Linked DNA regions of Lepisosteus oculatus. The protein of the gene in region 1 interacts with the protein of each later gene in a pairwise test. Links are inferred from orthologs where the notes say so. Each region holds a gene or a part of one and is shown on either strand. Other genes may lie near its edges. The genes, in order: ehhadh, desmin, fundc1 and kctd9a.

What was found.
Region 2: the proteins of ehhadh (region 1) and desmin interact in binary tests that used the Homo sapiens proteins (3 or more experiments, as listed by UniProt). The two-hybrid records come from large-scale screens. The link is inferred for Lepisosteus oculatus from reciprocal best matches to the Homo sapiens genes EHHADH and DES.
Region 3: the proteins of ehhadh (region 1) and fundc1 interact in binary tests that used the Homo sapiens proteins (3 or more experiments, as listed by UniProt). The two-hybrid records come from large-scale screens. The link is inferred for Lepisosteus oculatus from reciprocal best matches to the Homo sapiens genes EHHADH and FUNDC1.
Region 4: the proteins of ehhadh (region 1) and kctd9a interact in binary tests that used the Homo sapiens proteins (3 or more experiments, as listed by UniProt). The two-hybrid records come from large-scale screens. The link is inferred for Lepisosteus oculatus from reciprocal best matches to the Homo sapiens genes EHHADH and KCTD9.

Annotation. Positions count from the first base shown.
Region 1 is NC_090707.1:24,619,347-24,627,148, reverse strand, and holds the start of ehhadh (peroxisomal bifunctional enzyme), read right to left. Parts: upstream 3,006-7,802; 5' UTR 2,615-3,005; coding exon 2,541-2,614; intron 1,837-2,540; coding exon 1,733-1,836; intron 842-1,732; coding exon 672-841; intron 77-671; coding exon 1-76. Other genes in the region: transmembrane protein 41A-B, read left to right, coding at 3,393-3,556. UniProt on the Homo sapiens protein: Peroxisomal trifunctional enzyme possessing 2-enoyl-CoA hydratase, 3-hydroxyacyl-CoA dehydrogenase, and delta 3, delta 2-enoyl-CoA isomerase activities. Catalyzes two of the four reactions of the long chain fatty acids peroxisomal beta-oxidation pathway.
Region 2 is NC_090707.1:33,665,607-33,672,447, reverse strand, and holds the start of desmin, read right to left. Parts: upstream 3,005-6,841; 5' UTR 2,990-3,004; coding exon 2,313-2,989; intron 1-2,312. UniProt on the Homo sapiens protein: Muscle-specific type III intermediate filament essential for proper muscular structure and function.
Region 3 is NC_090710.1:3,610,864-3,618,650, forward strand, and holds the start of fundc1 (FUN14 domain-containing protein 1), read left to right. Parts: upstream 1-4,783; 5' UTR 4,784-4,888; coding exon 4,889-4,907; intron 4,908-6,660; coding exon 6,661-6,811; intron 6,812-7,787. UniProt on the Homo sapiens protein: Integral mitochondrial outer-membrane protein that mediates the formation of mitochondria-associated endoplasmic reticulum membranes (MAMs).
Region 4 is NC_090697.1:72,398,666-72,406,226, forward strand, and holds the start of kctd9a (BTB/POZ domain-containing protein KCTD9a), read right to left. Parts: upstream 3,024-7,561; 5' UTR 2,868-3,023; coding exon 2,820-2,867; intron 2,001-2,819; coding exon 1,879-2,000; intron 1,573-1,878; coding exon 1,529-1,572; intron 851-1,528; coding exon 754-850; intron 1-753. Other genes in the region: actr1b (actin related protein 1B), read right to left, coding at 6,976-7,078. UniProt on the Homo sapiens protein: Substrate-specific adapter of a BCR (BTB-CUL3-RBX1) E3 ubiquitin-protein ligase complex, which mediates the ubiquitination of target proteins, leading to their degradation by the proteasome.

The DNA.
Region 1 (7,802 bases):
TGAGCCGGGGCAAGCGTTGTGTGCCCCCTGCAGCCGGAAGAAGACCCAGCGTGACTTCTGGGAGTCCTACCCGAGCCTACAGCACCAAGAGCAGGAGAACAGTATGAGAAAGAATGACTTCAGCAACGAACGTCTACCTCCCACTAAAACACAAATGTCTAGATAACTCTGATCACTAGGTACTAAATGAAATTAGACTAATGCAGATATAAATGTCAATTCACTGCACAAACTATTCCCCAAATTAGCAGTAACTTGTGCAGAACTCAAGTCATGTTCAGGAGAAAACAGACAACTCCATTTCCAAAGGGAATTTTCACTCTGTGAAGACCTATTTCTCGCAAAAAGTCCTCTTTATAAACATGATGGTATACAATAAAATACGTGACTTATTCAAGTTCTGAAAATAAAAATATAACCAAATAGTACACACAGAAAATAAAGCGAAACATGTTCAACCTGTCACACAACCAGAAACACATTTTTTTCTCTAATGAAATTATTTGTTTGCAGTGCTACCTGTGACCTACTAGCTTCTCCAGACACGAGAAACCAACAGACCCCTAACATTGTGTAGCAGTTTGATACATACAAGGACTTATTGGCATCTAATGATTATACTGATGGTGCAGGAAAGAGAAGAAATGTCCTAGCTTGCTGGTTGACCTTACCTCGGAGTGAGCGATGCGGTAATGACAGCCCAGAGCCAGCTCCAGCCCACCCCCCAGGGCCACGCCCTCTATTGCTGCCACCACGGGCTTCTCGCCGCCCTCAATCTCGTCGATCAGGGGCACCAGGGCTGGGCCGGACATCGTCCCCGAGAACTCCCGGATATCCGCCCCTGCACCCACAAAAAACATGACAGCAGCTTCTGGTCAGCAAAAGAGACCAAGAACACTGCCTACAGTACATTTCAATGGCAATTACACTAATAGAGGATGAAAAGAATATGAACTGGCAATATTTTTTAAACATTTTTATGAATTTGCACATTTTTTAAGAGAACAAATAAATGGGTTTATTATAGGCCTCTCATATATGAATGGAATTGCTGCTAGGTCATTAATATTTGCCTTTTTTCCAGTCTGGTGAAGCCAGACTTAAAAGCATTCACAGTTTCATGTGCACTGTTTCACATACCATGTTCAAAAATAATCTCCAGCTAAGCTGTGTTTACAGCACTTTCAGGGGGATAAAATCAATGTTACAAAGTCCAAATAGGTACATGACCTACCTATTTCAATAAAATAAATGTGTTTTTATTGATTTTTCATGAAGAGAAGTAGATTTAAAGCATAATGTTTTAAATCCAATGTTAATTTAAATCTAAATGCTTTTAATGAGTTTGGCATTCCTTGAATATTACTGCTTCCAAGGTAATTCAACTGTTTTCTCCAGACTTTAGCTTAGGCTTTACTTAGCTTGTGCCTACTGTTCTATCAGCTCTAGCACTGGCTAGCTGATGTTTGTACCTGCTAAACAACATCTGAGTGTTCAGACAAAGCCCATATATACTGAATATTAGCTTGGACCACACCCGTTTTTTTTTCAGAATTACTAATATATCACAGGCATTTGATAACTTATTTTAATGTTCCAAGTTCAGTTTGTTTACATAGCTCATACTGTGCTCATACTAAGCTATATTTTTCAAGCTAAAGAATGGCCACTCAACTTTCAACCAAGAACCTAACTGCCACTTTGTCAATAACAGACACAGTCCTTTCCTTACCAGCACAAAACATCCTGTTGTCTCCACACAGCACAACAGCTTTTACTTCTGAGTCAGCACCAGCTCTGCTTACTGTCTGACTGATGGCCTTACGTACTGTGGAGCTGGAGGACATTATAACAATCCACATTATCAACATTGCAGTGTTCCCAATGTACATAGCACAGACAGATTCATACAGTGAATTCATACCTCCTAAATTATAGATCTGCATTAAATTAAGAGCACTTTTCACAAATTAAATTAAGTGCAAACCTTCACAAACCAGAAGGTACAAACTGGTGAAGGCTATTACATAGTATGAACTTTATATAATTTCCCTCCTAGTTTCTGCAAGAAAATATTTTGAGGGCTTTGTTAAAGGGAATGTTGATTGACATCATAAATAAACAGACGGACAAGAAAAAAGTGAAGGACAGTTCACAGTTCAAAGACTACATTACCCTTCATAACTTATATAAAGTTTTAAAAGAGGCAATAGGTGTACCGTATGTTTCGTGGTGATAATTTAATAATGTTAATTTATGACAGACATTTATTTTATAAAGCCGGAACACGCAGCTTGAGGGTGAAAACAATGTTGCAGCTCAGTGTACAGTATAGCTACTAAGGGCATACACACCGTTCTTGCACAGCTAGTGCAGATGTCTATAGCAGCACACTTATTTTACATAGTTTGCCCAGTAACCTATGAAAATATTTAACTAAAAAATCCTTACAGTACTTTTCCTTTCAACTTTAGTCTGTTGCGTTGTCAATGACATTACCAGCAAGAATACATAACTATTTTTACTTAAATTAAGCTTACCTGAGTGCATTGACGGGTGGGTTAGTCAACGTTATTACAGCAACGGAGCCAGGAATGCGAGTATAAACTGCCATTTTGTTTTCCACAGAGACTGATAATACTATCGTTCCACTAACAGATGCGCTAGTGAAATACCTACGAAACCTTGAACTTTAACCAGGTGAGATCCTCACCGCAATACGTAAATGTAGTCTGCCAACCAAAACATTTAACCTTATGTTTTTTAGTTGCCCGAAAGGAAGATATGAGTGCACACAGCTAGTCAGATAGGTCAAACTCCCGAGTTTACACAAGTAAAATTCCACACCATTATTTTTGTTTATACTTTTTAAATTTCATCTTTATGTAGATATTAATGGAAGTGAATCGGTTTTCTTGTTGAATGAGTGTCTATATCTAATTGAGCAACGCTTATTGTTAAGAAGCAATACATTTATTGATAAAAGAAACAACAGTTCTCTGCAACATGTTTAAATCTGAGGTTGTAGCATATACGTAACTTCAAAGTCCACGTTTAAAGCTACAAGGCCATGTGCATCTGACGCAAAACTACGCCAGTACCACACTGACTTTACATTGGACTTTGACATCGAGTAGCGTGATGCTAGCTGCATTTAGCGACGCTAGCTTGGCAGAGATATTTTGACGGATATACGTGATCCGTCTTACTGTTATCAGTCCGACTGCTCTTAATGTTCCCCTTTATTTTTGTTACCACAGTAATGTAGTTCCGCTGTCTGTACAAGGATACTGTAGGGAGAGGTTAAGTTGCTCAGTGCTCAAACAACATTGCTGTCACTCTGTAAGTTCCGGAGCTAGAGATTTAGCCTCTGAAGTGCTAGCCCTGGGACCATGCGATCTATATCGGGGTTAATTTTACTGGTCACTGCGGCTACTTTCTATCTCTACCTTCTCTCCACTTATTTGCCCCCGGGGCCGCATCACCCTCGTACAGGGGATGAGCCGGTCAAGTCCAATGAAAACTCGGACCCCGACTTGGGGTCGGAAGAACATAGGTAAGTTATAATTGATACTGCGTTCTTGGTCAGACAAAGACACCGCTACTGCAAGCATTTTGTCTCATTTCTCATCCAGACTCATGGGAAATGTCATAATCAAAAGTTGGCAATTTCATGTTTTCTCGTTTTGTGGTAGTGACCATTATGGAATAATGTAGACATTAAAATTTGTTTTTAGTACCGCGGGGATTGTTGAATAATATTGTACTACGTTAACATTTTTTAAGGTTGAGTATGTGGAATATGCTTTTAAAGTAAAAAATCAACGACGTGTCTTATGAAGGAAGATGTCTGTAGTTGATGCTGTAAGGTTTGAGAAAATAAGTTCATTTAAAAAATAAATGCTCAGTGAAATGTAATAACTGAGTACACAACGAACGCGTAATTCTATGATTTGTAATAATGCTTATTTATTGACACTGTCACCGGGGTGTTATAATCAATACAGACTTCCATCTTTAAGACTTGGAGGGTACAGTAACTACTTCCCAACTACACAGAAGAACCTTACATATACAGTAACAGGCTCCCGCTTTATTTAAATGCGACTAGCATGTATTCTAAACATGGCTGTATTGGTTTTGAAGCCATGCGTTTTAGTAAAACTTTTACTATAGAGCTTCAACTATATCAATTACTAATAACGCGTATTACATCTGTGTGCATGTTAAAAATGAATTTTGGTATGAAAGCGAGCACTCTAGTCGAGTACCTAATCTCCACAAAGGTACGTTTTAGTCTTATGATGCACGTTTTATTTGCGTAAATAATAGCAATAATAATACGACTTTTCTACTGTAATAATACGTGTAGCAATGCATGCATTTCTAATATGGAAATAACTAGACCCAGTAACGACATTCATTTGACTGTACGTTCGCTTTTCCTGGACTGTTGCAGCGGTAACACTGACACCTTTTATTTAATATTTAAGACATCGGTGATGTCGAATGGTCAGGTTTTACATACATTAAGTTTTGAAGATAATGTTCAAAAGCAAGACAAGCACTATGGGTTTAGAGGCATCACGGTATTGATACAATTGATTTTATTTATCTTAGTTAAACATTTTTGAGAAATGTGTTGCCAAATTTGGTGCTGCCATTAAAGGTTTGATAGTATGAAAGAAATCAGAAAAATCAGTCTCCAGTTTGTATGTAATATCCTGTTTTATGTAACCACGGATAGGGTTAGTTTGTAATGTTACCTTATTATTATGATATAAAAATAATGTGTATCACCACCATAGCCCTACTCTTTTAAAGTTATGAAGTGGCTGACAGTCATTTGTATTAAAAGGAAAATATAAAAGTAAGGCCTACACTATGAAAGTGATTAAAGTAAGATCTACATTGCTCTACACACAACATACAGTAAGTTGTGATGTTTATGTTTATAATATCTTGATAGATTTATGTTCTTATTATTTCCTTTCACAGGGTGACACAAAATATATAAAGAATGTATAGCTCAAATTCAAAAGGAGTAATGTAATATGGTCAGTGATTTTCTTCCCCTCTGTGATGATCACCTATTTATAGCACCACGTAACTGTAGATCTTGCTCTTGATCTTGCTTTCTGCTGGGGTTTTCCACAAGATCAGACACCTGTTTTGGGGGGATGGCCATGTTTCACGAAGTTAGTCCCCAACATGTCTAATCTGCAATCCGCCTGATCCCATTTGCAGCACTGCCATGCAAGTTTTCCGACCAAATGTGCTGAGCACCATAATTCCACGTGCTCTAAAACCCGTTTGAGCCACACCATCTCAGAAGTGATAGTGATACGGTCACATAGTATTCAACACCTGTTTTGAGCTAGCATATCTTCCTCAAGGGTTGGGTAAGATTCATAACAGATCAGTCTCGGATTTCGTTTTGTTGAGGGCTGTGTTCTTGTTAGTTTGTTTGGAATTTTAACCATATAAATAAACCAGCCAAGATTGCGCAGTAAACAGTGGTGGTATATAAAGGGGGACTGCTTATGTCAGCCTATCAAATCATCCTTCATCCATCCATTATAAGAAAGCCACTTATTTTTGGAAAGGGTTGGGGACAAACCGGATCTACTGTAATCCCAAAAGCAAAGGGTGCAAAGCAGAACTACACCTGGATGGGATACCAGTCCATTCCAGGAGAAAATAAAGGGAGAGCATGCAAACTCCATACAGAATGCACCCCTGCCTGGCATATATTCAAGAGCTGTGAGGGAGCATGGTCAACTGCTATATCTCAGTGCCAATTTACCAGTCTAATCAATCCATTGTAAATAAAAAATTCCATAGAAGGAAACATTCCATAATGTAGGGAGGAAGGAGCAAACAGTGAGCAGACAACTGCATGTGTTCCCAAAATGCTCGTGTGAGATTTTGTTTCAGATTTTGTTAACTAGAGGGTCTCCACCATTGAAAAGCTGGACTTTACTGTCATAAGACAATCTGTGGTGTAGTCCAGTATTTATTTTTTAAATGAAGTAGCATGGGCAGTCACAAGAATGTGCCTGAGCAGTGCTGATCTGGTGAATAAAAGAAAAGGAATTTTGTTGTTGGTAATTCATCAATATAATCAAGGGTTCCATTCTGTCTGGATTTCCTGTTCTTCAGGCACACATCCCCATGCATTCACCTAGAACTGTATTTTTAACAAATCTGGATGAACAAGTTTTAAACTTCATATTTATTTTATTTATTTTTGAGTATTATTTCTTTCACTTTTAAATTACAGAGTGAAATTTAGAACCTGTGTTTACTCTCCCAGAGGGAACTATGTTTCCAGCTAAAAAGGAATACAGACACATGCAACATGCCACTGTGACCTTGTGAAAAGAGAATGTCATTATGTAATCATTTTGGGCTCAAATAAAACTAGGTCACTTCAGAAAGGACCTGATTGGAAGTAGGCTTGCTGCATTCCCATGAAACACAATGTTGTACTTGCAATACCAGAGAAGGATTCTTTGTTATAAAACAGTGTGTTGTGTAAAAATTATTCCAGACACACTAAAACTAACTGAATGAGTAATAACAGTAACGTTTTCTTTGAAAGGTGCTATAAGCATATTAGGTAAAGCCTCCTTATTCATAAATCCCTTTGTGCATTTTTGTTACTGCAGTGTTATTGGGTCATACTGAATCGTAGGCTAAAGGTGACCTTTGACTGACATTGTGGAAACATACTGTTGATATGCTATCTACTGTATTGGTGATGGAGCAATGGGTAACTTTAAAAATAATAAAAGTAGAGACCTGGACAACTTGTACAAATTAAGAAAGTGGTTCACGACATCCAGATGTGTGAGCTGAAATTCAGTTGTAATTATACATACACAAGGAAAGGGGCCACACGTCCTTAGTATAGATCATGCAAGTCTCGAGGACTATTCAGTAAGTGATGATTATGCAATAATTTTAAATTTTATAAATAATGGATATTTCTATTACCATCATGAATGTGGTTTTCATTACAACTGTGATTACATTACATTACACTTACAATACTGCCTTTTACAGTTATTCATATTTTAGAATTTAAGTTAACAAACATCCCTATATGAATTTCAACTAAATTAATAACTGCAGTTCTCTTAATGTACATAATGTATGGCTGGAAACTGCATGATTAGGTCTATAATAAATAATCCACTTGGGAGCCCCATCAAAGATGAACTTTTTCACAGTATAACAAGAGGTAATGTGTGCTGCCACTTTTAAAAGGTGGCCACTGATGTTACGATGTGAGAAAGCTGATCTTTCAAATCAGGAAGTGATCTGTATGTAAATCTGAGACTTGAGCTTTCCCTCCTGTGTCGTACTCTTGTCTAGAGACCTGTCTGGTTTCCATCCCTCATCCTGTAAGACTGCTATGTCTTCTGCACTAATTCCAGCTGAGTTCTTAATCGCATCCTAATCATTTCCTTAATTCTTTCAGTTTGCTTTTGGTAAATTCAGCGTAGAATGGGATTTGTAATTTGTAATTTGTGAATTTAAGCACTCCCCTTGTTAAGATGTGTGAAATACAAAATAATGGACCCCAGAAGGAACTTATTTATTGTGGGAATGTTTGATCATTGCACTTCCCACACCTGTTCATAAATTGATCACCAGTTAATATTTATTTAATCAGAAAAAAAGGTAAAGCATGTTGAGGAAAGACTGTTTAAGGTTCTATAGGCTGACGTTGGTAACAGAACGCTTAAAGTAGGGTTTTCTTGAAACTCAGACTGTGCAGAAACAAACAAACTGAG
Region 2 (6,841 bases), about 9.0 Mb from region 1:
TGTCAGTAATTTCAGTTTATGCAGAAACAATTGTCCATGTATGTCTATATTAACATCCCTCACGAATATTGTAGCTCCTGATGTCTGAAATATTTTGCACAGCAGTGTACTGTATTTGTCTTGTAATACAGAACTGAAATAGCTTAGAATATAGTTTAAAACAAACCCTGCTCCAGTCCATTTCCCAGTACATAATGATATCCTTTGTACACTATGTACTGTAGGTCAAATAAAGATTTACAAACTCAATCTAAAGACTAAGATTATTCATAATTTATGGTTGTCTCTTGTTGGCTGTAATGGTAAAGATGAGATGCACTTGTGTTATCATTGATCTCCATCTCAAAAGTTGAATCATCCAGCCTTTAAAATGACTATTATTATGATGATTGGATTTCGTGTGCTGTATCTTTATCTGCAAAACGTCTCTGTTTCCATATTCACTTCAAGCTTATTGCTTAGGTATGACATTGTTAATTCCATATATAGATATAAAAAAATCCAAATCAAAACAAATGAAACTTGGATCTCAGCTGCATTTGTTATATTTTGGCTTAAGATACAAATTAATACATTTGTCGAATATATTCAAGGCATTTTAATACAGATGACTTTAAACACTACAAAATCTTTTTCACCTAATAGTACTTCAAACTTCAAAGGAATATAACCGTCTTGATTACTTTTTAAAGCACAGTTGTCTCTTCTATTTGTCTGTCTGTGACAGTATGAATGTGACTGATTTTATAGTCTGCGTCTCTTGATGTCTCTTTAAAACTTAGTCATTAATCTCTAAAAAATGAAATTATAGTATGAGCTGTCCCTGCTTGAGAACATAAGAAATGTTACATATGATTTGAGGCAATTTGACCTGTTTAGCCCGTTCAATAATTAGCATCTAATCAATGCAAAGACCTCATCCAGCTGTTTCTTGGAGAAGCTGTACAAGTGACCCAGCACACAAAGCTAATTATCACACTGTAATATATAAATCCAAAGTCAATACATACGCAGAGAACTGTATTATTATTTTTTTCCATTCAAGAACACAATCAGAAATAGAAAGCAAACCCTGATTGAGGAGCTGACTAATGGGATTTCTTCGATTACTGTTCAAAGACAGCATATCACACACCCTTTACTCCATATTTTCACAATGTATTCAGACATACTGTAGGTTCTTCAAGACAGAACAACTAGTGACATAGCAGACAGGATACACACCATAAAATGCAATGAAATGCAATTTCAAGTAATGATTAGTTCAATCCAATTGATAATTTACTTTATATCAATCAAAATTAAATGCTACCCGCTATTCCAGTACTGTGCTTAGGAACCACACACACACACTGACATTTAGCATTTTGTGGGTTGAAGACACTGTACTGTCAAACACTTCATGTTCTACTAGATTTTTTAATTACTGTATTTGAGCTCTTTTAATTCTGCGGAGGTAGACTAGAAAGGGCTTTAACAATAAAATGTCTCGAAGGATATACCCGTCATCTGCTTTACTACTGTTAAAGATCCTCAGACCCCTACCATTAATTTCATATTTGAGTCAACTGTACAGTACCTTCTTCCATTCTATGTTCAAGTCTCTCTACCCCTAATTTCTAGAAAGAATAAGAAAAAATCAACAACTTCCAGATTAACTTTTTCAACCCCATCTAACGTATGTTCAGTAAATGAGAAACTTTGAGACAAGATAAAGCTAACACAGGCAATACATTTTTTTCATAGTTAAGTTAGCAACTAATCAAGTCTCATTTGGGGGGGGGGGGTTTCTGATGCTTTTTCAGTTCACAATAAAAACGGTTAAGATGTCTTCCCTCATCAATATAGTTCACACAGTTTTAAAAACGTTTGAACTGCAATAACAGAAAATATATTTATATTAGTCACAAGTGTTTTATGAAAAAAAATAGTTTTCTGAATCTTCCCAGTCATCTTTTCATATACATTTTTTCCACCATAAAACTTCCCTCACTAATACTAAAATGTAATTTTTGCATGAAAATTATTGAAACTCTCAAAGAGTTTAATAACTGAATCAGTCACCATTTAAGGTTTCTTTTTGGTCTGAAGTTTACCTGAAAACAAAAGGCTATTCCTCATCTAGTAGATTTTAGACGTTACAAATACTACCTCGTGGATTTGCAATTCCTATAAACTCGACCGATGAAAATGTTGCGTAGCGTGTATAAATGAGAAGGCAGATGCCTTTTGGCAGAAATTATAAAATAGAGCAGGAGAAGAACAGAGCGGAGCTGTCAGGTGTGGATTTTATCTGCGTTTCCTGTTCTCACCTCTGCTTCAGCTTCTGGAGGTCATCAGCCAGGTTGTCCCTCTCAACCTCCACGCGCGACCTCTGGTTCGTGAGCACCTCGACCTGCCGGCGCAACTCCCTCATCTCCTCCTCGTAGATCTCGGCCACGCGCGTCGGCTCCCGGCCCCGCAGTTTCTCGATCTCCACCACCAGGGTCTGGTTCTGCTGCTCCAGGAAGCGCACCTTCTCGATGTAGTTGGCGAAGCGGTCGTTGAGGTGCTGTAGCTCGGCCTTCTCGTTGGTGCGGGTCTGCAGGAACTCCTGGTTCATGGCGTCGGCCAGGCTGAAATCCAGGGTCTCCCCCCCGCCGACGTAGGAGCGCACGGGGGTCATGCGGGTGGACCGTATCGTGGAGAAGCTGGGGGACGCCGAGCTCCTGGACACCTGGTAGACCCTGGACGCTGTCGAGGATGCGCTGGTGGACCCTCTTCCAGAGTACGTGGCCCTGGAGAGACTGGGGGACCCCGCTCCACCTCCAAAGGTCCTCCTGTAAGAGGAGACCCTCTGAGTGTTAGAGTACGATTGGCTCATTGTGGACTTCTGGAGAGCTGCACCCTGTGGCAGAAACCTTGGCAAGTGAGGGCTGCCGTCGCAGGCTCTTGGTATTTGTACTCTCTCTGATGTCAGCTGCTGGAGGCTCAGCGCCCACGCAGACATTCAAGGTCCTAGCGTCCGGTGGCGAGTGTTATTTTAACATGGTCTGCTTTGTGTCAGGCCAGCCAGGAGAAAAGAAAAACAGCTGGAAGGAACAATGAAGGCCCTGTGCTGTGGGGCCTGCTCATACACTCAAACTCCACCTCAGACAGCCAGTGTTTTCCGAGGGGAAGCAGAAAATGCTGTTTTCTCAGGAAGAGCCATCTTGAGTTAGGCCCTTCAGACCACGTTCTCAGCAGTCCTTTAAGTGTGTGTTGGTCATTAAACATTAAGCGTGTCGAAAAATAGATCACTTAGTTTCCCACTAAAGTCAGCAAAGTTTCACTGGGTTGGATGCAGGATTGTCTGGAAACAAAAAAACGGCATTAGTTATTTACAAATTGAAAACAAAACTGAAAACATAGCTATGAAATTTCTAATTTAACTTCACGGGTACTGCTGGAGGTGCACTGAATGGCCTGTGCACTCTTCTTTGGTTTTATAATATAATCCAGGATGTGTTAGATTAAAGATAGAAAGAAACACTTAGTGCTTAACAGTGTAGACTGTGATGAAGGAATACAAATCTATGCAGTACAACCTTTGGCACTTGAGATAACAACACATCCATCTTTAGTTTTTAATATCTTACAGCATCCTTTTCAATTAAATTGGTACATAAGGAGATAAAGAGCTAAATACCAAGTATGCACTAATAATACTTTAGTATCTGATGATAATATGTCTCTGATAATACCCTATGCTGAAGGAATAATTGAAAAAAACATTAGCCTAAACTCAAATAATACCCAAGGGCTATTTTTAAAAGGTCTGAGTTACCACAGAACATTAATAGACATATCTTCCCTCTTGTGAGATATCCCTTGTATGCAAATACCCATCACTACATACTGTATATGTTCAGTCAACGCAAGATTACACTTTGCACAGCAATCTGCCACAGTAAACTATAGCATAAAAGGGAATAAAAAACAATGCAGTATGGATATTATTGAATTACTGAATATCTCTCATTTAGAAAGTCTGACTGTGAAGTACTGTAGCATTTACAATAAATATATCCTCACTTCACAGTATGTTTGGTAAAATTGAAATCTACTTATTTTCAGTACAAAGACAGCATTCGCTACTTATTTCTATTAAGCACTTAAGATCAAAAGATGCAATTTTTTCCTTTATCCTAATTTTGTCTAGTGGAAGCACACAGCAGATTTTTCAACGTAGTCCTGAATATTAATATGCTGTATCTTCTGATTCCAGTTTGATTAACACACAACAGCGTTGTGTTGCGAAGATATAAAACGTGGGTCTCGCACTGTTACCATGCTAAATGGTATTAAGTACCTGAAACCACACATTTGACCGCAGCTTAATTGTTACAAAAATGCAGGAACACTGCTGCAATTTCAAACACAGGACAAATCCCTTGTTAGTTTATTGATCTCCTTATTGATCAACAAAGACAGTGAAGCAAAGAGTAAACTGAACCAAAGGGTCTGCAGACGAGAGTTTCCATTAAGGTTTTTTTCCTGTTTAATGGCAGCTTGGAATAAAAGGAAATATGATGCACAAAACTGTGATTAAATCTACAGTAAAACAAATCAAATACTTTCTCAATAACAGACCAAACTATCTTGCAATGAACTCCTGTCCTGTACCTTGCCTTATGCCTGTTTGCCATGATAGACTCTGACTCTCTAGTGACCCTGAATTGGAAGAAACGATTAGAAATTGGATAGATGGATGATATACCAAACATATTGAGAATTCTTGTGCAGACCTAAAGGAAAGGGGAAAAATAAGGTGGTGAATTACGGAACAGCCTGCACAAAATAGTGGCCATTTATGATTGAAAGCTCCCCATACCTACTGACAGAACAGACCATGCTTACTGTGAGTGGGGAACTAAATCATAACTGAAAAGCAGCAGAATGTGATAGGCAGAGGTTCAATCTCTGCACAGCACTGTTATGAGGGCTGTGTTAGCAGATCAGAAAATAATGGAGCATCTACAGACAACTTGCAGTAATTCTAACATGACCACTTTGTCATTAATCAATGTCTAATTGTCAGTCGAGGGCAACAAGTCGTGGACACATTGTGTGAAAACACTGGGTTATTTTTTTTCAGTGCAGCAAGCAGCTAAATGTAGTCCCAGCTTATGGCTCAGAATTACTTCAGTCCATCAAACTGCACCACCTCTGACCTACCACAATCATACTCTCAGACCTTAACCATCACGTGATCCCTTTCAACCGAGTAAAGGTCAGAAAGAACATCTGTGCAGTTCACAGAAAGGGTATTATTACAAAATCTTTTTGTCAGGGAATTGAGCAAGAAGTATTACTTACTGTATCATTCTGAAAAATACATATCTCTGTCAAGAGTGGATTCCTCCCTTCAAGAAAGATTGATCAGGAGTAACTATTTTAGCAAGCAGCATAAAGGTGCAGAAAAAACACAAATCAAAAAATTCTTCGTGTCACAAATGAATTGACTATTGAAAAATACCTATTGTATTCCCAGTCACAAAAATCTGGAGATTCCAGCAAGGTATTAATTACTTTACCTCATTACTATTCTAGTCAAGAGACTTGAAAAAGCAATGAAAAGATGCTAAAAAGGACAAAAGTGGCTTGGCAAAAAGCAAAACAACTATTTTCAGAAAGGTTATGTCTCTTTTTGAGTACTACATACCCTTAAAAATACAGTACATCAACTCACTTTATCCTGTGAAAGAAAAAACAGTTTTAATAAATGAATAACAGTGCGTCGCATGAAACCCTTAATCCATGGTGCACCAGAGAGCTTCTCAGATGCAGAATTTTAGACAGCCTTTGGATAAAGTACCTGGATGGGAGTCCTCCTGGGAATAACTAAGGTTGCTGCTGGAAGAGGTGTTAGTGGGGCCAGCAGGGGGCGCTCACCCTGCGGCTCATGTGGGTCCTAATGCCCCAGTATAGTGACGGGGACACTATACTGTAAACAGGCGCCGTCCTTCGGATGAGACGTAAAACCGAGGTCCTGACTCTCTGTGGTCATTAAAAATCCCAGGACATTTCTCGAAAAGAGTAGGGGTGGTCCTGGCCAAATTTCCCATTGGCCTTTACCAATCATGGCATCCTAATAATCCCCATCTATCAATTGGCTTCATCACTCTGCTCTCCTCCCCACTGAGAGCTGATGTGTGGTGAGCGTTCTGGCGCACTATGGCTACCATCGCATCATCCAGGTGGATGCTGCACATTGGTGGTGGTGGAGGGGAGTCCCCATTACCTGTAAAGTGCTTTGAGTGGAGTGTCCAGAAAAGAGCTACAGTATATAAGTGTAAGCAATTACTATATTATTATTATTATTATTATAAAACATTACTCAAGCTAAGGCCAGCTGTGACCTCTGTAAATGTGAATATGGGAGTGAAATACAATACAAATCTACAAAACCCCAGGCAGCAATCCATCCTCAGTTGACTGCACATCATTTCTCCCACTTGTAGGATCTCACCTCCTGTACCTATGACTCTCTAAAGTTGCTCGGAATGCACTCTGCCTGAGATAGACACTGGACATATAATTTACCTGCAGTATATGCTATGAGATGGAAAAAGGAAAACAATTTTGGACGCCTTCCTTTGATACCAACAGAATGAGAGTCAGGGTTTACTTTATACCAATGAAGGCTTGCTGTCAAGAGTAAGGCCTTTTGTAACGAAATCATGGAAAAGTGAATGCCTCAAAGAAAACAGCTAAGGTTAGATGGATGGAGTTAAAAGTCTGTACAGGGAATGGGGACAACACATAAGAATTCTACCTGAAAACTGCATCTTTAACACAGGCAAAATACTTTCTTGCTTTA
Region 3 (7,787 bases), on another chromosome or scaffold:
AGGAGGTGACCAGCTTCATCCACCACTAAAGGGCAACCTCATTGCACAGCCAATGAGGGAGAGAAGTGAGAACCTGCTTCACCAGTTGAATTAAGGGGAATTTATAGTGAGGACAGATGATAGAAATTGAGTGGAAATTGGCAGGATCACAGCCCTTAACAACCCCACTCTGATGAGCTGTGTCCTGAGATCCCTAGTGACCAAGCAGCCAGGACCCCAGTTTAACGTCTGGTCCGAAGGATGACACTTCCTACAGTCCAGTGTGCCCTGAAAACCCTGCAGAGCTGCTCTTGCTAGGAAGGTTCTGGTCCAGAGGGAAGTGTGCCCTCTATTGGTCCAGTTGTATCCCAGCTTTTACACCTGTTCATAGTTTCTGTCTACTCCACCTCATCTGCTGTGCAGTGGAGCTGCTGTTTGTCAGACAAGTGGGGCTGCGTGTCAGTGGCGGATGAAGTGGGTCCCTTTTTATATGCAGATCACTCTGGAATCCTTTCACTCTCTATATAAAGCTTTATATAGATGGTTTATATAAGGGTGTTACCCGGGCATCCTGGATAAATTTCCCATTGGCCTTTACCAATCATGGCTCCTAATAATGCCATCTCTGAAGTGGCTTCATCACTCTGTTCTCCTCCCCACTAATAGCTGATGTGTGGTGAGAGCTCTGGCGCACTATGGCTGCCGTCGCATCATCCAGGTGGGGCTGCACACTGGTGATGGTGGAGGGGAGTCCCCATTACCTATAAAGCACTTTGAGTGGAGTGTCCAGAAAAGCACTATGTAACTGTAAGGAATTATTATTACATAAAGTAACTCTGAAAGAGACACTACACAAATCCTTCCATCTATTTTCTGACTGCTTTATCTAATTAAGGGTTGCAAGCCAGTGTCGGCAAGCAGTGGGCACAAGGCAGGATGCAGACTGGACTGGATTCCAGTCCACTGCAAAGCGCACACTAACACAGACACAGGCACATTCACACCAGGGCCAGTTTTCCCAGAAGCCAACAAACCCGCCAGCATGTCTTTGGACTGTGGAAGGAAACCGGAGCACCAGAGGAAACCCGTGCAAACATTGGGAGAACATACAAACTCCAACCAGATGGTACCCCAGGTCCAGAATTGAAGCCAGGGCCCCCGTGCTGTGACATAGCAATTTCCCTCACGGGATCAATAAAGTATCTATCTATCTATCTATCTATCTATCTATCTATCTATCTATCTAGCAATATTAACCACTCTGCCCCCGTGCTGCCCCTACACAAATCCAATTATGTATTAATTAAATTGCTGTTCTTACTCTAAACCCGAAAGGTGTCATTCTAATCAAGGAATTTATTCCTTGACCTTTTGCCTTTGGCCAGTCCAGATTATGATTCAGGTTACACCAATGCCGGAGGCTGTATCTGGTCTCATTTCTAAGGATCACAAGATCTCTCACTTTCATTTAGAACACCGCTTGCTGGAAGCCCTAAAGCATATTAGCCTTTGGGCCAATATGTTAGAGGTCTCACTGGCCAATCAATAACAACCACCTCAAGGAATTACAGTAAGTGCAACCCCAGCTCTGTAACTCTTTGACATTTACTGTATTACCCACCCACTGCAAGAAGCATTTAACCTTAAGAGAAATTTAAAACTAAATGAGCCAGATGTGCTGAATGACCTCTTCTCATTTGCAGTAGCACACTTAAAAAAATACAACCTACTTTTTTCTGTATCCTCCATCATTCAAAACAGCGCCACACACCGTAAACACTTGTTCAATTTACATGTGATGAGATATATTGCAAGCTAAACATTTCTCAGGCCTGCACAACAGCTCACAAAGATAACAGATTTTCTATAACATGGATGTTTTATTCTTGGAAAGGGTCAATCAATCCAGAACAATCAATTAAGCCCTGAAACAGTAACTGGACTACCCCTGGACAGGACAGTAGTCCATCACAGGACACAAGACAGGACCGCACCCTGGACAGCACACCAGTCCATCACAGGACACAAGACAGGACCGCACCCTGGACAGGACATCAGTACATCACAGGTCACAACACAATTGGACAATTTAGAGACAAATTAATTTAGGCAGCATGTCTTTATGAGGGAGTAGGGATGAAGAACACTTGCAACTCCATTCTTACAGGAAATCTCAAGCTTTTGCACCCCAATGTGCTCATTTTACTGGATAAACTCAAAACTGGACAAAAAGAGAGGGACAGAACCAGCTAAAAATAAATGAATAAAATACAGTAATCCATCTGTGCAATCAAACAATTCAATCTCAAACACAAAAGAAATTAAACACGCTGATAAAAATTAAACAAGTAGTAAATCTGGACCCATGGACATAGAATGTATAATTTCTGGTCGGCTTAATGAAACATCCAGATGATTTCCTTCACTTAGGTACAAAAAATTAAATGTGCTCTATTAATTAAAATCATACAAAAAATGTAACCTTTTAATGAAATACCACTCCAAGGAAACTACAGCTCCGATATATCCTAAAACTCTTGATTTATGATAAAACTAGATGATACATTCTGAAAAAGTAACATGCATATTAAAAGTACTATGAAAATAAAAACACATTTATGTCCTAGGCTACAGTACCAATATCTAAAAGCTAGAATAGAAGATCTGCAAAATTGCCAGAGTATTATTTCAAACCTTGTAATTTTGTCATTTAAACCAAAACCTTAATCTCCTTCTTTATATCATTGGGCACAGATGGGTTTGTTTTTCTTATAGTCCTGTGTTGACAGCCGTTGTGATACAGCATTGTGATGGCAGAGGTAAGAGTGACAAGCCAATGAAAAAATGTTAAAAGCATGGAAAATTATAAGAAGAAATTATATATAACATTTTGTAGTTATTAATTGATCAAGCTGTATGTTGAAAGACAGGATATCACCTTCAGCAACAGGGCTGGGTCACTTGTTCCCTACCCCAACTACCCTTTGGGTAAAGACATGCACTTAATTTTAGTTTCCACTTGTGACTCATGTTTTGCTTTTGATTCTCAAGTCAGTGGCTCAGAGGATTTTGAATATTTCAACCAGGTCACCTCATAGTCTTCTGTGTCCAAGACTAAAATTTGTGGCTCTTACTGATTATGCAAGACGTCATCAGTGGTTGAGTCATGTCTCAGGCCACAATTCTGGACCCATCGCCGAGAAATATTCTGTTTCACCCCCAGATCATGATGGCTAGAGTAATTGGCTGAATAACTTCACTGAGATGAGGAGAGCCAAAGTCTGTGAGTTTTATAGAGAGTGGGGCTGGGCTACATCAGTCCTGACTTTATTAAAGTACTCACTCAGTTGGCCCTAGTTATCCCTTAATTAAACTGATTGAACTACAGAGGGCATTCACTTTTTAACACGGGGATATTTGATGTGGGATTACTTTGTTTATAAAACAATTGAAACAAGCACCAAATGCTGGTGTTATTTGTTCACGTGGTGGTGAAACATTCAGTGGTGAAGTTAGAGAATCTGAAAGGGAGCAAACACTTTTTTTTGCTGAACTGTATACAGACACTTTAGAGGTAGTTTAGATAAGATAAGATCACTTTATTAGCCATATACAATTTCTTGCAATAGGAATTTGTCTTTTCGCATACCCCACCTTGCTCTCCATGAGACACACAGACAGGGAGAGAAGCTTGGGGTCAGGGTGCTGGGTCAGCCATTTATACAGCACCCCTGGAGAAGCTGGGGTTAAGGGCCTTGCATAGGGGGCCTCAACGGAGTAGGATTCCTCTGCTGGCTGCAGGATTTGAACCAGCAACTTTCCAGCCACAGGCACAGATCCTTAGCCACAGAGCCACTGCTCCGCCCAATTTATTCTTACACAGAATCCTCTTGTGATGATGATAATGTCTTTCTGTTATTTCAGACTTTCCTCCTCTTTCCTCAAGCATGCTGGCATAATGACATCACTATGAGTGGTCTGGTCAATTTTGAGTATATATGTTTTAATAGGGATGACTTAACAATGGAACAGTGACTGTGTTTAGCATAAGTTAATTATTAGGAACACTGCTGTGATATCTGTGTTAGCCCAGCCAGCTGTGTAAATACACTCATTGTTCCACATCTTCAGAATAAGGTAACATTGCTGGGAACTACAAACGAACAGCTAACCAACAACACGTATCTATAGTTTATATGTCTACTACCTGGATGTAACACGCTGCTATTGTATTCGTGTCAGAAGAACGTAAATGACGTAAATGCCATATGACAGATGTGTAGTTTTTTTATTTTCCTTTTCTGCTTTCACGCTGTTTGCTAAACCTCCTGTTTTGGTGTCGTCTTCGAGCTACTCGACTGATTATATGAGAATCTAGATCACTCATATCAATTAGGAAGGTATAATAAAACCGGGAAAGGTAAATGCAGTTGCAGCACAAGGTAAATTTAACCTCTTGAGCTTGAGAGCTACGATAAACCACAAGAGCTGCAAAAGCCACGGTGCAAGATGGTAACGACACAGGACAATTGAGAAACAGTCACGCCAATATCCTGTGGGTAAATCCGCATATTTTGCGTGGAGGTTACAGTTGAAACACGTGACAGGGACCCAGCGCCGGATAGTAATGGATGCAAGTTGAATATTGAGATTGTTACTTAATACATTTTGCGAGGTTACTTGTTGCAGATTTTATTGTTATATTGTTAAATAAAACAATATTTAGGACACGTAAAGCTGGAAGAAAAACAACTTTAAACATTTGTAATCCATCTTGGAACTCACGAAACGCCAGAGCTGCAGAAAGAAAAAAGATGTCCTGGCTCTTTAAACAACTTGAACCGAGGTGGAGGAGGCGGAGTACACCGGGTGCTTGGCACTGTCAACATCCTGAGCAGTTGACTGCAAAATGGCGGACTGCAGAGAAGGTTAGTAGTGCATTTGTGTTTTAGTGGCATTTAAACAAAAATGGAGCTTATTAACAACGGTGTCTTTAGGAATGAACAAATACAATCCTGTTCTTGATTTGCTAGTCTGTGCGTCGTCTTTTGAGGAAGTGAAATTGTAGAATTGTAGAATGAAATTGTTATGTTTACATATACATTCAGACTGTTAGCTACACTACCTTCTAAGAACTGTATTTAGATTTTCGCGTTTTGCCGCATTACAAAATGTTAATGGCTAAAGTAATAAGGAATTGAGCTGGACGGAACGATTATACGGTATACGCAATGTTCTGATAATATACAAGATTTTGCTAAACTAGATGATTCTTCAAATCTGGAAGTGCAAACTTAGACCGTTATATGAGTCATATCAATTAAAAATGTTAAATCCCATTGTTATAAAACGAGCTGTCATGTCAAGGGCAGTTCAAGTGCCATAGATATTGATCCATATGTTCTTCTTATCCATGTAATAGTGTAAATATGCAAACTCATCACCCAATTGTTTGTATATTATGTTGCATTAAAAGCAATCCCATCCAGGTATTAGCCAGGCTCACACCTGCTGTGCTTCAGTGGGTTGCCAGTTGTGCATTCCAGGCTGATGTAGCTGCCGACAATCATTTTATCTCAGCAGTCTACATATGCCCTCTTACCTCAGTGGGGAACTTGGAACTGGTGTCTACTTTCGTGTCTGCCATCTTAACGTTTGATATTGTTGAACTGGGGAAAAATAAAGACAATCCAATTCCTATAAGAACAATACAAATATGACTATTAAGTGCCAGTCAAAAGACAGAATAAAGCGACAATTTTCTTACTTAGCCGAGGCTCCATCATACCGATGGCAGAAAGATATTGTTCCCAACATAAATGGGACGCATTTGTTTTTTTTCTGTGTTTATGGTTTCTTGATTTTCCCTTTTTGTTGACATTCAAATGGTTAAATTACCTCATCACCCATATGTGATCAGCTTTCCCCTTATTGAGCTGCTATAGTGCTGATCCAGCAGTCAAAGTCACTGGAGTGCATAACGGGCAACATGAGCATTCAATAAATCAAAATGACCCCAAAACAATTACTCAGTCTCCCAAATATGTAGAATTTATTTTTGTGTGTATAAAACAAACCTGCATGAAAGATTCATGGTGCTCCATGTTTCTTCCCACAGTCCAAAGACACACTGGTAGGTTAATTGGCTTCTGGGAGAATTGGCCCTGGTGTGAGTGTGTTTGTGTCTGTGTGCCCTGCAGTGTACTGGTGTCCATTGCTTGTCAGGATAGACTCTGGCACCCTCGTGACCCTGTACTGGATAAAAAGCATAGAAGATGGATGGATGACATCTGCATAAATTGAGTGATTGTCTTCTGCTCAGTATTTTATCTAGCAAAGTCATAAAAAGTAATCTGAGCAATCTGTTAGGGATAGCCTTCTGTCAAAAGGGAGAGCCTTCTGTGAAATTATCAAGAGTTTATCCTTCGTTAGATTGCCTCAGAGAAACAAAAAGAGTTGATTAATACATTTCGGTCTGAGCTGCAGCGAGGAGCTCTTTAGATAGAAGGCATGATTATGTCATTCCTGTTAAAGACAATTTGTTTGTGCTCATTGGTATTTTATATGGATAAAACTCAGTGCATTCGTTGGGCGATGACACTGTCTATCATGAGTGGTGGTGTGTAAAGATGAACCGAGAGTAGCAAACTGACACGCATGGTTTTGTCTTGAAATGCTAAGACAGTGACGATGACTCGTACGAAGTGGTGGACCTTTCGGATTATGCAAGACGCCATCAGTGGTGGAGTCGCGTCTTTGGCCAGAATTCTGGACCCATTGCCGAGAAATATTCTGTTGCAACGCAGATCATGATGGGTGGTGTAACTGGCTGGTAAGTATACAGACTCTTTAAAGGTACTTTATGGATTTGTCTTAAAGTACATATATATTAGGTTATTTCACTTAAGTAAAGAAATGAGTTCCCATTGGAATGCCTTTATCTGTACATAACTACTTGTATAATAATAGCTAGAACGCTCATTAGCTATTAGTGGGGAGGAGAACAGAGTGATGAAACCAATTCATAGATGTGGATAATTAGGAGGCCATGATTGGTAAGGGCCAATGGGAAATTTGGCCAGGACGCCGGGGTTACACCCCTACTCTTTTCAAGAAACGCTCTGGGATTTTTAATGACCACAGAGAGTCAGGACCTCGGTTTTATTCTCACCCGAAGGACGGCGCCTGTTTACAGTATAGTGTCCCTGTCACTATACTGGGGCATTAGGACCCACATGGACCGCAAGGTGAGCGCCCCCTGCTGGTCCCACTAACACCTCTTCCAGCAGCAACCTTAGTTTTTCCCAGGAGCTCTCCCATCCAGGTACTGACCAGGCTCACACCTGCTGAGCTTCAGAGGCCTGCGAGTTGTGAGTTGCAGGGTGAAATGGCTGCTGGCGTCTGCTGGATATCGTCTGCTGGACAGGAGCTTCTTTAACGCAGCAATAAGATGCAGTGCCAAGTCAGGGCTGAAATGTGAGTTTTCCTGCCCCCCCCCTTCCCCATAATCAGCACAGGTGTGCAAGGGGGCTCCCAATTTGCTTGTTCAGATATCAGGCAGCAGCAGCGTTACGGGCTTGTAGCTTGATCTCGTCGGATCGCAGAAGCGGAGCAAGGCTGCACCTGGTCAGTACTGGGATGGGAGATCTCTTAGGAAAAACCAGGTTGCTGCTGTAAGTTTAGCTCATAGACCAGCTGTTCTCTCTGGACAGTTTGGTGACCTGGGCCACTGCTACCGTGTAGGAGGTACCATTCCACTAGACTCTTGCAGGTCATGTAATATCTCAATGTCATTGATTATGTGGCTT
Region 4 (7,561 bases), on another chromosome or scaffold:
TGTCTTGTCCAAGACAAGGAGCAGCAACATGTTTCACATTATATGTAACTGTTTGAGGTTACTTGGTATGAACGCATGACATTTGGTATGATGGGGATGGTGGCTATAGAAAAGGTGATCTATGTTTCATACAAACAAAAGTGATCACTGTGGGCAATGAAACAATGATCATTTCAACAGAGCAATGAAGACATGAGAACGAGTGAGAGAATAACTGCTGAATTTCTTTTTGTTGCTCTTAGTTGCTACTGTGTAATTTAATTTGAAAATATATTCAGTCTCAAAGAAGGATTTTTTCCCTTAGTTTTTTTTTGTGGTCAAATGTAATGCATGTTTCCTGCCTGGGGCAGGAGTATCCCTGTTGTGTGCAAGCCTGCAGGGGTGAGACCTGGGTTTTTGACCTCTGCCCAGAGTTGAAAATAGCAATGCGAACATACCTGCCTTTTCATCTTAGCCAAAGGGCCTAACACAAATGGGGATTACACAATAAACAGCTTGCACAGCTTATACCCACACAGATTACTGATTGAGAGATTTCTTAATTGCTGTTGTTAATTATGTATTTCATAGTTATATTTCTAAAAAGAATATTTCTGAAAAGACTCCTTAAAGGTCTGCAGAAACATCAAGTGCTGCAAAAACAAAACTCCATTTACTCCACATTCATATTTTTCCTTTATTTTCAATATCTTTTTTTTCCCTTTCAGAAGTGTGGAGAGATCAGTGCTGCAACATTCTTAAAAGGCACATTACCGTGTAGTTGTGAAACACCGTCCCCCAATGTTTAGCGTTAACCAGTCGGTGTGGGCACCTGAGAGCTCATCTGAACTTCTCTCTTCATTCTGGGGGTCTGGCAAAGCATGAAATTAGACGACCGCACAATACACGAACAACAACAAAAACACAGACTTAAAATATACCGCTGCCGGAGAGGGAAGTCTGGTGCCAGACTAAGTGACAAACCCACTTGGCTTCATTACCACATCACCGCCTGATCTCGTGAAATCTCAAACAAGGACGAAAGTGGTCAGTGGCGTTCTTCCAGCCTAGTACTGAAAACCAGATTGCTGCTATAAGCAGTGCTCGTGGACCTGTAGGGGGCGCTTTTTCCCGTGGACCAGAATATCCAGGATTCTAATGCCCCAGCATGGTGACCAGGGGCACTGCGTGGCATGGGCCCATCTTTCAAATGAGAAGTTAAGCCAAGCTCCTGGATACCTAGCTATTAAAAGATCCCTCAGCTCCATTCAGTAGAGCAGGAGTGTAAACTCAAGCATCCTGCCTAAAGGGTATATTCAATCTGGCCTACCAAAAGTTTCCCTTTAATTCAATAGGTAAAGCAAATTCATTCTTCTCCACCTAGGACAGCAGTTTTCAAGTATTTCCACAGACTGCAGCGCAGTGAAGCTTCTGACCTATAACAGCTTTAGCACCCAGTTGAGTCCTACAATTCCTTAGTAGATGATGACACTTAATGAACCTATATCTCTTTTAGGGTGAAAGGCACACTAAAAACTGCAGGACTCACCTACAAAAGAGTCTCCTTCAGAAACATACAACACATCATCGTCCCTGCAGGATGAACAAAAATAACTCAATCACACTGCAATATAACAACAGCACTGCCTAACAGAAAGGTCACAGCATACAACTATCAAATAACAAGCATGTGTCATTATCGCCAAATGGGCTTAGCAACCCCGTTTTATCTGAATATCTGAAAACCCAAAGGGAGCATTAAAACCCACATGAAGTCAAAATACGGAATACCGTTTAAATATTCAGGTCTACAACATTGGAAAAGTTCATTTAAAAAGTCACCATACATATTGGCCTTGAATGAATTCTTCAGATTCTGTATATCTACCTCCTCCTTACCTGATGAGAGCAATGTCATCAATGAGCCCCCCTTTCCCATTGTAGAGACAAGAAGCCTTGATTCCCAGCTTGTTGCTCGCCACAGACAGCAGGTCTGCCAAAGTTCCATACACTGCTACTACCTGAGACACATGCAGGGAAAGACCTTTTATATCTCTAAGGAAACTAGGACTTTAACTGTATTAGGGATGTCAATATTGTTTACAGAAGAACCCACCCATTTTAATCTTCAGATTATATTGAGCAGGCTAACAAATGGATCTCTATTCATCCTTCACATATGTAGTACGACTTTGACTGAAGTGTCTCTTCCAATAATGAAAAGTGACAGGTCTAGGTGTACTTTATCAGCTGCCACGCTATTTCATTGATAATACTGATGCTTCTTTCAACAAAACAGTAGAAACACACAACACATATACATAAAAAACCTTTGGAATGATATTTGAATTATTATTCATTGCACCAAACTGTCATATACAACAACTGCAATATATAAGCAAATGCAATATATATAATATATATATAAAGCAAATATATAAGAGAAAATGGATGGAGCAAAGTACAGGCAAATCTCAAGAGAAAATCTTCACTCTGTTAAAGCCCTAAAACTTGGACAAAAATTCACGTTCCACCAGCAATGTTCAAAAGTATTTAATAATAATTCCACTCAAGTAACTAAACTATTGCTTGAATGATTACGAGCAGATAACTAAAATCTTTTACACATACAGTTAAGATTGTTTTAGCTCATTAAAACTGTCGATTTTGCAAACGTTAAGGGACTGAGTAGCACGACACGTTGGTAAGTACAAACAATAACTGTTACAAAGCTATGCTAATTAATGCTCGGTACCAGTGAGGTGACTTTTCATTTCATGATTGAATAAATTAGATCTTATAAGCAAGCTGTTACAACTATAATAGTTAATATTTCTTACCTTGCCGTTTTTGGAAGTTCCATTTACAAAGAGAGTCACTCTCCTCATTCTTTGTATGTAGCTTAAGATATTAGTTACAAAACTATAATAAATATTTACACAAAACACAACTTTATAAAAAACTGCCTATGAAAGAAGTGGAAATTTTCACAGAAGACAGACTACCATGCTTGAAGCTCATCACTCCGCCATCGCCCAATCACGAAACGGAGATACACCTGGTGAACTGTCGCGACCAACCAAATACAAGAAAATGTAAACCAGGAACACAATGAAACCAATAAGAAAAACCACAGAAAGCAGCAAGTTCGGTTGCCCTGAAATTTATGACTCATGTATTTTAAAGTTAAAATCATTCTGTCAACGTCACGGAAACTGCACTTCACTGAATGAGACTAAAATGAGTTACCATAATTACTAGCCTGCCTCAAAAAAGCCAAGTTCATTCACGCTTAAGTTTTAGTTGAGAAGTATTAAAACATTTTTCAGTTAATAATGTTTTACGTACCGTATTACATCGGAGGTGATATTTATGCGTTGAGCCTCATAAATTGTCATGCTTAATGCTCTACAATTATGTTCAAATCTGAAAATCTCTGATGTTTTGTAGAAAAGGAACCGACGTATTTTTTCTCCACATTTTCTTGGATGCTGAGGACAGCACCGTTAAGCGGTCCAGTTTGAACAACTTAAAGCATATCCAACTTCTCAACACACCGAAAATTATTATAGTAGAAATTATCAGCATGAGGGGTGAAATGATTAATTCCGCGGTCTACAAAATAAAAAAGATAATCAAAAAGACGGAATCAGCAACCATTAATTTATTATTTAGATTTACAAAATTAAAAGCAACACTTCCAATATATTTTACATTTCAGTTTTCGGTTTCTGGGCATGTGTTTATTTTACAATACTATCCGCTGTATACAAGGCTGATGAATTCACCTGCTTTAAAACATCAGAGCAAATTAGCTTCCCCAATACAGACGCAGAGGCTTTTGGGCCGAGAAGGCAGGAGGGGACGTGGCTGGGATCGCGGAGGACGGACTCGGACATAACAAACGCTGCACCAAGCAAAACGCTTCAAAGATTAAGCCAATTCCGTTCGTCATCCAGGGCTGCAAGTTCTCCGTGTTTCTGTTCTGCTTGGGATTCATCACCTCACTGCATAGATTGCTGTGTTTGGTTGGATGTGTTCATTGCTTAAGGTTTTAAATCAACCTTTCCAATTTTACAATAATTGACAGCCACATTTTCAAACGATTTCAATAGGACTGCAAGTTCTCTACTGCAAATTAAACAAACAATAAACAAGCACGGTGCTTGGAATGCAAGTACAGAAAATTTAATTCCAGTTTAAATAACTAAGGGATCATTTAAGAGTCGTGACAGCTGAGTCATGATTTAATTTTACTTTACTAACCGTTATTTCCTCCCATTAACTGATGGACAATTTAATTCAAAAGAGGGAAAAAATATTCTTGTTTTGACTTTAAGGAGACAGGAGAAACAACTCAAACATTTAAGGCAGCATAAAAATGAATTTGTTCAGAACCTCAGTGTCAGAACTCATCATTTATGTGTAATGGAGGGCATTGTCTCTAGAGACAGACCTTCCCCCTAAATCTAAAGGATCACTGGGCTTGGACTCTGTTATTCAAGATCAGAAGCATAAGTCCATTTGGTTGTTGAGCTATACAGTGTGCCTCCTGGACAAAAGGTTTACAGCACACCTACAATTCCACTATCTGTACTCCACTTTGACGTTTATAAAGATATGAGGATTTAGCACAAATATTTGAAGGAAAACAGTGTTGATGGTGAATATTTACAAGTGCAATAGGTGACCACCCACAGTGACTGCTTTGGAGCTGATTGAAGGACTTCAAAGTCCAAGGTAACCTGCAGATTTAAACTGACAGCTGAAAATATTTTTGCAAGCCAAGTTCATCTGTTTTGGAATGGCCATTCACATCTTACCATGATAAACAGCCCACACTTCTTCAGACACTGAATATATCATTTAAATCTTTGCATTAAATGGTAGAGTAGTAACAGGCTGCAGTATTAAAATACTGCAAATATCTCCCCAATATAAAACATGTAAGATTTTCAGACATTTTCCATTTATTGTGAGTTTTTAGCCTCTTTCAAACTGCTGTTGGACATTTTTTAATGCTGCTTGAAAGATAGCCAAGAATTTCTGAAACCCATTCACATGATCTTCCTCCTGGACTTCATTATCTGGAAGGAGGCAGTCAATGAATAATTCAATTTAACTACTTAATCCCAATACAATTTCAATCCACATATTTTATTCCCTACTTTAATCTACATATTCTTTAATTATTTGAGTTTAACCAGACAATCTGAAGGACAGAATTGTGATTTCTGAGTTCTCTCTATACCACAAAAGTAATTTACGGTTAGGGATTGGATATAGCTCAAAACAGAACATGCCTTGCTAACTTGCCATTATCTGTGCCCTAATAATGAAACGCCTAAAGCATTAATCACAGCAACAGATGCACGCACAGGCAGTTGAGAATTAACTCACAATGAAAAGGACCACTCATTCTCAGCATCCTATGGAAAGTGTACAAGTTTCAGAAAGCCATAAAGACAACAACAGCTAGGTGAACTTGTCTTCAGGTGTCAAGATTCAAGGGGAATGTTTATATTTTAATATTATGCTAATAACTCTATCACGTCTAATACAGGAGACATGTTTTTCAATTGATTTTATACCTGTAAGAGGTAACAATGATCATACTGATTGTTGATCATTTCCACATCCAATAATGAGAATTGGTGAGAAGCAGATTGCATTCTCCGACACATCTACTAATGGCTGGAAATGAATATTCATGGATAATTAAACTGACATACAAATCTCAAATTATAGCCTGGCCACAAATTCAAGTTTTAAATTGTTTACACAGACACAAAGATACAAACGGAGAACTTCAAACAGTATCATGGTCAAAGGGGTAATAAGCTATACTAAGTTATTAATAAGATCGTTTTGCAATTATAGCAGGGCATTGCACAACTGCTGATGAACACGTTAGCCAAACACTATTTCCTCAGCTCACTTTTTCCTTTAACTGTATAAAATGGGAAAAGCAAATCAAAGCGTGTAAAACGTGGAATGTAAGCAAGGAAAAAAGTCAAAACTAAACCACATCTCGAAAAGCTAGCTAAAAAAAAGCAAAAGCTGCACTCTACACCACAAGCTACATCTGCATGCTTTATGAGGTAACAAAATCCCATGAGAATCTGTGACATTTTTCAGAGATGCTGACAGCACTGAACCTGGGTTCTAGAGGAAATCTTTCAGTGGATGTTGCTTTGAATTGCTGCTTATGTAGCAGGGCAGTATTGGAGCTCCAATGCTATCTACTGAAAAACATGTGTTTAATGTTTTGTGCTTGGACTCTACAGTACTCTACTGTATTAAAACTGTATGGGAGGTTCCTGCCCAGCTGCATGACTCCATTACCATTACCACACATAGACTGGTCCTGATTAGTGTAGCTGTACAGTGCTCTTCTGTGTATTATTTATCAACATAGTCAAACTGACAAACAACTATTAAAAATGAAGATTTTTTTAAAAAAATGGGCTAGCAACCCATTTCTTTCAACATTCACCAACGCTGCAGAACTGTAAAGACTGGAACATGGAAAAGAAAACAAGAACGTGATCAAAGTAGAACTGAATTTATCCAGTTAACAAGAACATTAACTTCCATTAATGGCAAAAACAACTCATTAGAAAGAGCAATGATATCACATGGGCTTAGATTAACATCTTTATAAATACTTCATGCTTTCGTTTAGGAATGCAGCCATCAGTTTCGCCCAAATGTACAAATATAAGAGTCCACTACAGAGGGAGCTGTGTCTGAAAGCCTGCTGTGTTTGACAGATCTGGGGCGGGTGGATGGGAAATTGACCAAGACTGTCTGCCCGAACCTTCTGCCAGTCCTGGCTGATATGCCCCACGAGTGTGTGTGTAGAGGGGCATCAGCTGGCATGCCGGGCTCAAGGATCCTGGCTTCTCCCTGTAAAATGTGGGAAAGGGGCCTTGGGAAGGTGGAGGGGCTGGATTTGAACCAGAACGATTGGGGCTGGGGGGGGCCTGTCTTTTATTAGAAGGTCTTCCTATGGATGGCGCGAGCTCCATCCTCTTCATATTCCTTCTTGGAGACCCACATCTTCTTAAAGGTGTCTAGAGAAGCCAGGATTGACCCCCTGCACAGAATGAGAGAGAATACGGGCATGTGACAGGCTGCAGGAACTGCTTAGAAGTGGCTGGGGTTGTGGCAGAATAATCATAACAGATAATCATATTGCATGCACCTGGACTGGGTTTGATATTGTCAGTAACGTGAGCAACACTGCACTCACTGCAGAAAGGTTTTATTTTTAAGTCCAAATGTCAGAGATGTCTATCCTAAGACTGCCCTTACTGCAGCACAGTTCCCCCATATTATCACCATGCCAGTGAACTGGAGATACAAAACGACCAAGCGCCACCTACTAACCCACCAAAATCCTTTGCTGATTGCCTGCTCCCTGGCTAGCACTGCTAGGCTTCAGAGTTGAGGCTGGGGTGATGACTATTTATGTATTATTGACACACTGTTGCCCATAAACACAGTTGTAACACACTCAGTGTAATGTAAAAAAAAGAAACAGAAAAATGTGAAAGAAAAAGGAACATATAGCCACTGT